Caenorhabditis elegans: one gene and its partners. The protein of the gene in region 1 interacts with the protein of each later gene in a pairwise test. Each region holds a gene or a part of one and is shown on either strand. Other genes may lie near its edges.

Region 1 (3,599 bases):
TGGAAATTTCATAGTTTTACGAGGAGTGAGAACAGTTACGAGCTTTTGCTGCAGCAGCAACAGATTAGAACAAATATTTGAAAATTGAATTGCAAAAAGACCAAAAATGGGGGATTTGTTGCACTGGTGAGACGATACACGCGTTTTCCACGTATACGCCAACAACATGATGTGCACTCTTTTTCTCTCTCGCTCTCCTATTTTTATGCAGATGGCAACCATTGTCTGCCGTTTTGTTAGGAGGCCAAAAAGAACGGCAAAAGGCTGGGAATCGGAATATTTCGACGTTTTCTAAGCGCAATGAACATTGAAACCATGTAAGGAGACAACTTTTTCAATCTCGAAGGTCGGCGATAAGTGTATCGTTATTGTTCCTTCCTTCCAATATATGAAGACCAAAAGTTCCGCCACCACTTAACCCTTTTCAAAATAAGTAACATTTTTCCATTATCTGCAAGGTTTGAAACACCTGATATCAATCAAATCCATTCAACACAAAAACATTAAATATTGACACATTTTTATTCGGCATGATTCGAAAACAATCATGGGAACAAAATAACAACAACTTAGTTCTTGTAGGCTCTGGAAGCTCTGCGTCCGCGGGCGCGCTCGAACTTGCGTCCCTTTGATCTGACGTATGGCTTGGTGTGGGAGTGTGGGACTCCTGGAGCTGGTCCGAAGTGCTTCTCGGCTTCACGAGCAGATCGTGGTCCCTGAAAATGTACAAAAATAAATAAAGATAATAGAAAAATTGTGAAATACCTGGAGGAAGACGGTGTTTTCTCCCTTTGGCGACTTGAGGGCGAGCTGGTCGAGGGTGATGATTTCTCCTCCGGCAGCAAGGATTCTGGCGCGGGCTCCTTCGGTGACGTGAAGAGCGGCGACCTAAATTAAATTAATTGAAAATGAGACGAATTTTGAAGAATTCCGGAGTTACTCCGATGTTTTCGTATTATTTCAGTACTAAACTGGTTTCATAAAAACCAAGAATAATTTTTACAATTTTAACGGTAAAAGAAATGCTTACGGAGATCTTTGGGACAGTGTAGAGACGGGCATCATCGGTGACAGTCGAGAGGGTGACAACAGTCTTGTTCTCGTTTCCAGCCTTCTGGACGGCGCGGGCAAGCTTGGCGAGCGAGAGTGGCTGACGGTTACGACGGGACATGCGGAGTCTCTTCAAGACGATGGCGTTGAACTTCTCTCCAGTGCGTCTAGCGAGGAAAGCGTAGAGCTTAAAATTAATTTTTAAACAGAGCAACAAAAACTAAGTGTTACCTTGGACAGAAGACGGAGGTAAGGGTTCTCACTCTTTGGTGCCGTTCTGCGGGCGACGCGATCGTGCTTGTGGTTGATATCAATACCCTAAAAAATTTAAATATTAGTTTTCAAGTTAAAAATATGAATATTTCAAAACTTACCATGATTTATGAGTAGATTAAGATGTACCCTGCAAAAATAACGTTAAAAATCAAAATTTTAATTATAATTTATCAAAAACAACGGAAAAACCGGCAAAAACACGCTACTTTACGGTAAAAAACGTGAAAAAAATTTTAGGCTAGTAGAAATATTCCCTCAATTCATTCAAAGGCGCACACTTTTTCGTTGCGAGACCCGTGATTGGAGCGGAGTGTCGTTGCGCGCCCTGTTTATGTTTTACAATTTCACACATTTTTCGACAGAATTTCGGCAATTTTTCAGTGTTTTCAGAGTTTTCAGTGAGAAATAAGTAAAATTTTCAGAATTTTGATTAAAAATTGAGAGTATAAATGAAATTTCATTGTTATTTAGCTTTTTTCTTTCCATTTCTTCTTTTAATAAGTTTTTCACAACTTTCGATCGGTTCTTTTAATATGAAAATACATTAAAAGTCGCGTTTTCTCCAACAATATAATGAAATTGACTTTTTTAGCATTCATTAGCCGAATGAAAATTTATGTTTGACATGAAAAACATGAAAAATTTAAAGAACTGAAACAAAATTCAAGATTTTTCTTTGATAAACGAAGTTAAGCGAATTTTCCACTGATTCCATCTGGATTGCCGGAAATTTATAATTTTGTCAATATTTCAATTAAAAAAGATTAAACAGTTATTCTGAATTAATCAAGATTTAAAAGACTATTAAAAAACGAATGCAAATTAAAAAATAATTTATCGGAAAAAAAAAACAAAAATTAATCAGATTTATCACTAATGCCATCTGGATTGGCTGGAGATCGATCATTATTCCTGATAACCGCTCGGAATTGCTTCTTCAGTCTTCTCCGCCGGATAACACTCATGATGTACTGAACCTGGAGCACAATGACTGGAACCACGAAGAACAAATGGGCCAGCCTAAAAGGAACCAACTAATACCTGAATTTAAAAATCGAAAAACATACAAATACCCTTCTCCACGGACAACAGTTTGCAGTCCCGAGTTCGCTGTAGAGTTCATTTTTTGAGAAATGGTGAAAGGAACACTTTGCAAAAAAGTCGCTGGATTTCACGTGACTTTTCACGAAAAATTCCGAAATATTTCTGTGGTTTGGTTGATCCGAGGAATGTGAACTTTGGGCAAGCATGCCTTAGAAATTCGGAATCTATGATCATCAAATCGGAATTTTTTATTTGCTTTCATGAGTGTTTGGACCAATGACCGATTACATTAACTGGTTGCAGTGCACAACTTGTTTGAAAAATGGAATTCATTTTTGTTTGACACCTGTCTTCACCCCCGCAATTTATTGAAAGAGGAAAAAAAATGAAATGGCAAATTTACAGAGTAGAAGACCAAAACTCGGAAATTTACGTCGAATTTTACTTATATTTTGCTTGTATTGACCGAGCCCTCTCTGTGTGTGTAAACGGCATATTTCTTGTGTTTGAGTGTTTGACACAATACATATTTGAACGCGAACACGTCAGAAGCCAGCCAGACACAAAAAAACGCGAAAAAAAATTTTTTCTAGGATGTTTGAGAATTTACAGACCAAATATCAGAATGTAACATCCTTGTGGCACGTGAGCTTGGGTTCATAGAGTGGAATTCTTTGAGCTCTCGAGCTTTGAAATATGAGCATAGGAGCAAGTTATTATAGTTTGCGGAGCTCAAAGTTACAGTCCTCACAAGCTAAGAACATCATGATCATTATCCAAAATTACAAGAATCGTGACGAGACCCACCGAGGAAGATAGTATGTTCCTTTAACGTGCAACGTGGATATTATGCAATTTTCTGAAAAATAAAGGCGCATGGAACTTATCGGATGGGTCTCGCCGCGAAGAGTTTTTTATTGCAGAAATTTCATTTCGGCTTGATCTACGTAGATCTACAAAAAATGCGGGAGAAGAGACACAGACTTCTCAACTGATTTCGTATAGATAAGAACACGTGCTGACGTCACATATTTTTGGGCAAAAAATTCCCGCGTTTTTTGTAGATCGAACCGGGACAGCCTGGCACTACGTGATACGATATGTGATTGGGTGCTGTGTGCATTCATTTTTGAGTGTTTAAAAGGAAAACAAGACTGCTGCGTGGATATTATGCAATTTGCTGAAAATTAAAGGCGCATGGAACTTATCGGATGGGTTTCGCCGCGAAG
Region 2 (3,754 bases), on another chromosome or scaffold:
ACGAGTTCGGCTTTCAGTGATTCCATTGCAGCTGTCAGTTCCCCGCCTCGCAATGATTTGGTGTCGTATCTGAAATATCTTAAGGATTCTTAGTGTCGATTCTTGAAAAAAGTGTTGCAACATCGCGATTAGCAAAATTTTTTCAGCAAACGTACAAAATTGGCTTTTTTTTAATTATGATAATCCAACTTTTCAATCTTAAATTGATATCGAAATTTATAAAAACGGTTCATTTCATCTTAAAATGTTATTTAATTTTGTCTACAAGCGTTTAAAAACATTAAATAGTGCATGAAAGTTGCCATTTCTATACCAGTTTTTGATTCGAAATATTGGATTATCTTATTGAAACAAGCACGTTTTCCAAAAAGATTTTCTGCACATTCCTGCTACCTACCTTCTCAACACATTGATAGCAGCAGTTCTGCATAGAGACACAACATCAGCTCCTGAGAATCCTTCAGTCCTTGCCGCCAAGTCATCATAGTTAATTTCATCGGATTTCGGAGTTCCTTCCATTGATTTTTCGATAAGCTTCTTTCTTGCATCTATATCTGGCAGTGGAATGAAGATTCGCTTTTCGAAACGTCTTCGGAGTGCCTCATCGAGCTCCCATGGAATATTTGTGGCGGCCAGCACGAATACACGTCGCGAATCGAATTTATTCTGTGACCCGTCCATTTGTACCAGAAACTCGGATTTAACACGCCGACTCGCTTCGTGTTCTCCAGAATTTCCACGTTGTCCACCAAGTGTGTCAATCTCATCGATGAAGATTATGGATGGAGCATAGAACCGTGCAAGTTCGAATAACAGACGAACAATCTTCTCGGAATCACCACGCCACTTGCTGGACAGATCAGTCGAGGAAACGGTAAAAAAAGTTGAACTAGACTCTGAAGCAATCGCACGTGCGATAAGAGTCTTTCCAGTTCCAGGTGGTCCAGCGAGAACCATTGCTTTCCATGGTGAACGGAGACCCTGGAAGAATTCTGGCACCAAGAGTGGAAGAGTGACGGCTTCGTGCAGAACTTGCTTCACGTCGTGCATTCCGATTATATCATCTAAAGACATTGTATTTTCCGTATTTGTAGCCATTGTACCACGCACCGCTTGAACAATGTACTGAAAAGATTTCTGATTTTTGTTTCTGGAAAACATAATAACTTACCGCATCATAAGCCGATGCATCGAATGAATCTCCAGCACTATTTTGAGGCAGTATTCCTTGTGTTGGATTCGCAGGCTTCACATCAGCCGGATTCGTGCTCATCGACGACGTTGACTTTGATATTTCTCTGGGACGTGGACCTGCTGCTCCAACTCCTTTCTTTGTTGCTCCAAATTTCGATGAGGATGGTAACGGTGGCGATGGTTTGGACCAAACATCTGGGTCTGCAGGTGGCTCTGGACTTCCACTTTGTCGCGTCATCGCCTCGTGTAGGTCATCTTCATCGCGCACATTTTGTTGGACAAGCTTCAAATTAGCCTCTAGGGCTCGTAGGAATGTCTGAAATTTCAAATAATTCAACAAGCTTTTAAAAGATTTATATTACGTACATTTCTTGCGTCATGCTCGTCTCTGTTGCTTGCCGAAATTTTACAGCTTTTGACATCTGTCATGAGCTGACGAAGAAGATCACCAGCCTCATTCCATCGTCCGGCATCGGACATTGTTTTCGCGACTTGGGCTCGCTCCAGATATCCGCGAATGACTGACTGCACATCCCCATTCATCCTGAAAATATACTTTAATTTTTCAATAATATACACTTCTACAGACGAGAGGATGAAATTTAGTATAAGACAATGGGATTTGGCGGAGAAGAAAATGGCAAGATGATGAATGATAACGAATAGGGAAACGACGGAACGGAGTGTGCGTGGACTTTATTAGATGGGAGAAGAAGATTGTACCGTGAAGATGAATTTAATATTATTTACAGAATAAAATGGTTGAATAGAAAACGATTTTTCTTTTTTTACTTGATATTGGCTCACTTGTTGGAAACATTGAAAGAGTTTAGCCGCAAAACAACAAGTATTTACAGCGGTAGATCACACAAAAAATGATAGGTCAAAAAAAGTTTTAGGAATTAAATCCTTAGCAAAAGGCTTGAAATCTGAGATCTTTCAGCGAGATATAAATGATTAGAACCTTCTAATTGCATATCACTTGAATAAAACCAAAATTAAGCGGCGAGTTATTGATTTTTCAGAAAACAGATTTCTGCTGGTCAAACCTCAGAATTAGCTCATCCGCGACAAACAATTAATTTACACAAAGCAAAAAAAAAAAAATTGATTAATAAAGAGAAGAAACAAGAGCAGTTTGAAAAGGAAATAATTGTTTCACTTGTTTAACAAAAAAAGATCATAAAGGTATAGACGAAATTTGTGTTGTCCGGAGCCAGTTTGATTTGCACAATTATAGTGTAACTTCTTAAAAGATATCTATAGAAAGCTTTTCATAAAAAGTAAAAAAATAATTGCTCAGGGCTCCGCGGAGCTGGAGCTCCGGAAGTATGGCGCAAAAGTACAAGTGTCGTCAGTTAAAATGTCGAGTACGCAATACACCCCAGACACTGTCACGTCTGAATGCACAATCGCTTGCAATTTGAACACTTTCAATTTTCGAATTTTAGCGGAATTCCGCGGAAAACTTTTACATTTTCTTAAATATTCTTCTCATTTTTTAGGATTATTATTATTAATTGGTTTTTTAAAACTGCCGTGTAGTCCATCATTGTACTGATTCGAGATTAAACGCGTTATTTTTGTTCAAATTCCGAGAAGAAACTCAAGAAACAAAAGGAAATTTTAAACCCTATGGAATTATCAAGTTAAAACCGTAAGAAGTTTTACAGAACTCCCGGAAAAATTTTATTTATCAGAAATCTCAATTTTATAAGTTAATGTTTCTACCGTGCTTACTATATTTTTAATACCACTTCACATGACATTAGTATCTCTTTCAGATGACGGATGTCGCTCGAGAATTCGGGATAGCTGTCAGCGACTCCTCCACGGTCTTCGCCTTCCTAACAGATAAAAAAGGATTTTCAAATAAAGGTAAAAATTGCATCTTCTTCAGTTTCCAACATAAGAGATTTTTCAGAAACAGTCTTGGTCGAGAAAGTTTCACAAAATCGACAAATTCTTGCGACACCAAATCTCAGACGACTTGTTATCGAAATGTATTCTGTATTTGATAAATGTCAAAAAGGCTCCTCACCTGATGCACCTCTAGACACGCCTACTTGCTGCACATTCTCTCGAGCTTATCGTTCAGTTCTCTACAATGCCGCCGTGTCTCACAGCAGTTCCGACTTCATGACAGACTTTGCTTTGTGGTCACTTTACGAGAAATTATGGTTTGGAAGAGGTGATAGCTCGATATGTGCGGATCTTATTTCATGGGCCAATCAGAGCTTCACGTTTTCTAGAGGAGCCATGGAATCAGCTGTGGAATATCTGCATCCGGGGAAGACGATTCCAGAAGAATATTGGAAGGGAGTAGCAGTCAGCTTGCTTAGTTGCAATTTCAGCGATTGTGTTGAACTGTTGGAGCTACATGGAGGCGGATCAGAATGTGATGCATTCATTGAGGCTCTCACATTCTTCAATCCCGAAAACTTAGTCGACGAAGCATTAGTAAGACCCATTTATATAATAATTCTTAAACTTCGTAATATTCTTATTTCAGGCTAACACAGTAAATGAATGGAAGGATATCATGCGTGAAAATTTGACA
Region 3 (3,754 bases), on another chromosome or scaffold:
AGCAAGCGAGAGAGACGGGGAGAAAAACGAAATATTTTGGGCGAAAAGGCAATTTGTGAATGAGTGATAGGGACATGTATAGCGCCCCCCCGAAAAGTACCATAAGGCGCCAAGTTGAGTTATTTTATAGACTGTTGATTTGTTGCTGGGAGGTTTGAGATTTGAGATTCTATTACACTGGTTTTTGATCTTTTTTATTTGAGAATGGTGATTCACAACTTCCAGCATTAAAAAAAATCTGAAAGTGCACCGTATATTCCCTTTTAGTATGGCGCCCCCCTCACTCGACTTTGACCGTTTATATCTCGGTTCTCTTTGATTGATCATATTTCAAAAATTCAAACGACAAAATCTTTTTCAAATCTATTGTTATGCTCTGGTTTTTAAAGGTACCAAAAATCTTCTGAAACCGCTGAAATATAAGCCGACAAAGTCAATTGATAGGGGGGGGGGTCATACTAATAGGAAATATACGGTAGTATAAACTGCTATACACACCTAGTTCAAAAGTCATGGGGTACTTAGTAATTCTATTCTAGTTAAAGAAAAAACAGTCCCGCCGGATGTCAGTTGCTGTAAACAAAGTTATGTAATTATGGCAATATCAAGGATGTGGAAAAAATCAACAGCAACATTTTGTTAGTTGGAAATTTTTTGCTAGCAGTTATCATATTCGAGTTACCTATACTTGTTTGAGCAATTCAAGCAAATCACCGTAAAAGCGAAAATAGCTAATATATAAACTTAAATGAGTTCAGGAAAAAAACCTAAATCCTAAAAGCTACGTTTTACATAAGACATTAAAATACGGCATACCTTACAAAAAATCGATATTGGTATAATTAGAACCACAGCTTCTGACACTTTGCCCCTTCTCTACCGTACCATAAAACTGATGTAAAGTGTCTGTTATCGATATAGTCTTCTCCTCTCCTTTTTTGCCTTTTCTCCAAAAAAAAAAGAGTGTCGCCAGTGCGTGTTTATACACGTCGTCGATACACACACACACACATATACAACTTGAAAGGGTCGCCGCTGGCGCCGCGAGGAGAGTGCACTCTCCGATTACTGTATGGGGGCAAAAAAATGAAGAAGATTCTATATAAGGAAGAATGACGAACAAAAAAAGAGATGATCGGAAGATAAAGTGGTACGGTAGGAATTGAAGGCGCGTGTGTGATTTGATATCGATTACTAATTGGGCAAGGGCGAGGCGAAATTTATGGGTGGGGGAGGTCTCAACGGTAATTAATAATTTTATGATTGTTATGCGGAAAAGGAAAGGAATGAGATCCAAATAGGCTGCGAATTGACTTATGATCTTTTAGAAAGTTCCGAGTTACGGAGCAGAAAACCGTGTTCTCCTACCCTTGCAACTCGCGGCGGTAAGATCAAAGCTAGTGATAGCGAGGAATGCGGAGGTGGGCGGGCAGATGGAAGAGCACAATGACATAATAGAAGTGAGATGTTGGAACTAACCACTTAAATTTCCATCGAGACTTGGAATGGAGTAGTTAGCTGTGAATTGATACGGTTGTCCGTATGAGTACCAACCAGTTGAGGCCAGCGGATTTTGATAGAAATCCGTGTAGACCGGGTTCATCATCATTCCAAACTCGTTGGCAGTTGGCATTCGACTTGGTCCGAACCCATACATCCCTGCTGTTCCAGGCATAACCATTCCTGTGCTGAAAATGATAGATGTCATTTGCCAAATCAACTTCACACTAACCTAGACGGCGCTAGCTGTGGACTCGACCCAGTTTCAGATTCTCTTTCCGAACGGCTTTCTCCTTGTATCGACGGTATGGCAGCAGCAGCACTTGGCCAGAAGAATGGAGTTTGTTGGACAGAGGTGATAGATTCTTTAGAGTCTTCTGGAGAGTCGTTATTAATCATTTGTTGCATCACCGAAATCATTCCATATATGAGCAGCTTGGGGAGTTATTTGGGTTTGGAGATCTGTTTTTGAACCTGAAAGTTGAGCACTTTGCGAGATTGAGCTTGAAAAAGTAAGGAAAAGAAAAACGAGAATTTAAAAAGCTTATATTTGAACACTACTGTAGCACTTGTGTCGATTTACGGGCTCGATTTTTGAAATGAATTTAGCACGGCTTGTAAGAGCTACAGTAGTCATTTACCGTATATTTCCTATTAGTACGGCCCCCCTCACTCGACTTTGAACGCTTATATCTCGGTTCTTTTTGATCATATGTCAAAAACTCGAACGACAATATCTTTTTCAAATCTATAGTTATGCTCTGGTTTTTGAAGGTATCAAAAATCTTATGAAACCGCTGAAATATAAGACGACAAAGTCGATTGATGGGGGGCCATACTAACTAGATATAAAGCTTTAGCTACGATATATTTAGGATTTTGACGCGGAAAATTAATTAATTAGTAAATAAGCTTATAACAGTAATTATTATTTATCGGCGACAAACGCGGCAATCAAAACCTTAAGCACCAATAAAATAATTTTAAACCTCATAAACCTTTTGAGGGTAATAAAATAAAAGCTGGGGGGGCACATAAATAACATAAATGTTGAAACATGCATGCGAGACAAGTAATAAAGATTAAGAGAGCACTAAAAAAGTTTTATAAACGCATTAAAAAGGTGTTTCCTCTTTCCCCCTTGTGTTGGAAAACACCAAAGAGACTATAAAGAGAATAAGGGGCGGGGGGCCGTGAAAGGTGATGAGGCCGAGGAGCAGAAAGGAGGACACTACATAACACGCACGCTCCACCCACTTGTCTACCGTACCCCTCTGACGAATTGGGCGGCGAGGAGCGGGGCGGGCGGGGAACAGAGAATGAATAGGAGAGACAAGTTGAGTGCAAAAAGCAAGGGAAAAGCAAATTCCATGATTTTGACAAATATCAACTTTTTATTCCCATATATATGATACAAAATTTGAGCGTTTTTTTTTCAATTTTATTATATCAATTCATTTGAAAAAAAAACCCGACCTCCTGCACTCCGTATTCTATGATATAATTTTAGTATAGGAAACCTTCCACCAATTTTACGACTGGATTACCTTCCGATCCGATTTGCCTTTTAGTCAATGGACAGGAAGAGAGAAAGAGAGGTCGCCACTTTTTTTTCTTTTTTCTCGCTTCGGTTTCTGGTCATTCTATTTTTCTTGTCAAGAGGATTTAGATTTGAAATTTAAAAAACCCCCTGAAGCTTGAGTATTTAAGCTTCCCGCACACGTGGTGCCAGAGTGTCTCATTTTGGATTGATCTACGCTGATCTACCAAAAAATGCGGCAGAGTTCTCAATTGATTTTGCATGGTTAAGAACGTGCTGACGTCACATTTTTTGAGAAAAAAATTACCGCATTTTTTGTAGATCAAACCGTAATGGGACAGCCTGACACCACGTGGCGGCTTATACCTCGGCTGTCTTCAGTTTTACCAAAAAATTTGCAATAACCAAAATATAGGGAAACACTTTGCACTTATTTTGTCCGTTTGCAATTGTTTGATAAAACCAAAGCGAACCGAGTTTTAGGCTGTCAAAGTAGAGCAGGGGGTGCTTTTTTAGAACAGTTTTGATTTTTTAGATACAGGTTTTTATTTAAATTTGAGACCCTAAAACTATCGTGAGACTTAGGCTTAGACTTAGGCTTGAGCTTAGGCCCTTTGAAATTCTAGAAACTTATTTCTGGAAAATCAGAATGAAACTTTTCAAAAAAAAAAAGGATTAAATGCTTTTATGGCGGTTCAAAATTTTGAAAAAACA

What was found.
Region 2: the proteins of rpl-18 (region 1) and mei-1 interact in a two-hybrid assay, tested with the Caenorhabditis elegans proteins (one large-scale study listed by BioGRID).
Region 3: the proteins of rpl-18 (region 1) and nob-1 interact in a two-hybrid assay, tested with the Caenorhabditis elegans proteins (one large-scale study listed by BioGRID).

Annotation. Positions count from the first base shown.
Region 1 is NC_003282.8:13,775,719-13,779,317, reverse strand, and holds rpl-18 (Large ribosomal subunit protein eL18), read right to left. Parts: upstream 1,454-3,599; 5' UTR 1,428-1,453; coding exon 1,425-1,427; intron 1,369-1,424; coding exon 1,282-1,368; intron 1,238-1,281; coding exon 1,031-1,237; intron 889-1,030; coding exon 766-888; intron 717-765; coding exon 570-716; 3' UTR 509-569; downstream 1-508. Other genes in the region: gly-10 (Putative polypeptide N-acetylgalactosaminyltransferase 10), read right to left, coding at 1-222; Y45F10D.16 (uncharacterized protein), read right to left, coding at 2,184-2,346, 2,394-2,449.
Region 2 is NC_003279.8:8,292,865-8,296,618, reverse strand, and holds the start of mei-1 (Meiotic spindle formation protein mei-1), read right to left. Parts: upstream 1,746-3,754; 5' UTR 1,738-1,745; coding exon 1,561-1,737; intron 1,511-1,560; coding exon 1,172-1,510; intron 1,126-1,171; coding exon 398-1,125; intron 79-397; coding exon 1-78. Other genes in the region: npp-2 (Nuclear pore complex protein Nup85), read left to right, coding at 2,979-3,072, 3,119-3,654, 3,707-3,754. UniProt on the Caenorhabditis elegans protein: Catalytic subunit of a complex which severs microtubules in an ATP-dependent manner. Microtubule severing may promote rapid reorganization of cellular microtubule arrays.
Region 3 is NC_003281.10:12,082,343-12,086,096, forward strand, and holds the start of nob-1 (Homeobox protein nob-1), read right to left. Parts: upstream 1,975-3,754; 5' UTR 1,921-1,974; coding exon 1,733-1,920; intron 1,689-1,732; coding exon 1,480-1,688; intron 1-1,479. UniProt on the Caenorhabditis elegans protein: Transcription factor, involved in posterior embryonic patterning, morphogenetic movements of the posterior hypodermis, and cell fate specification. Binds to the 5'-TAGT-3' motif in regulatory elements of genes, including Meis protein psa-3 and microRNA mir-57.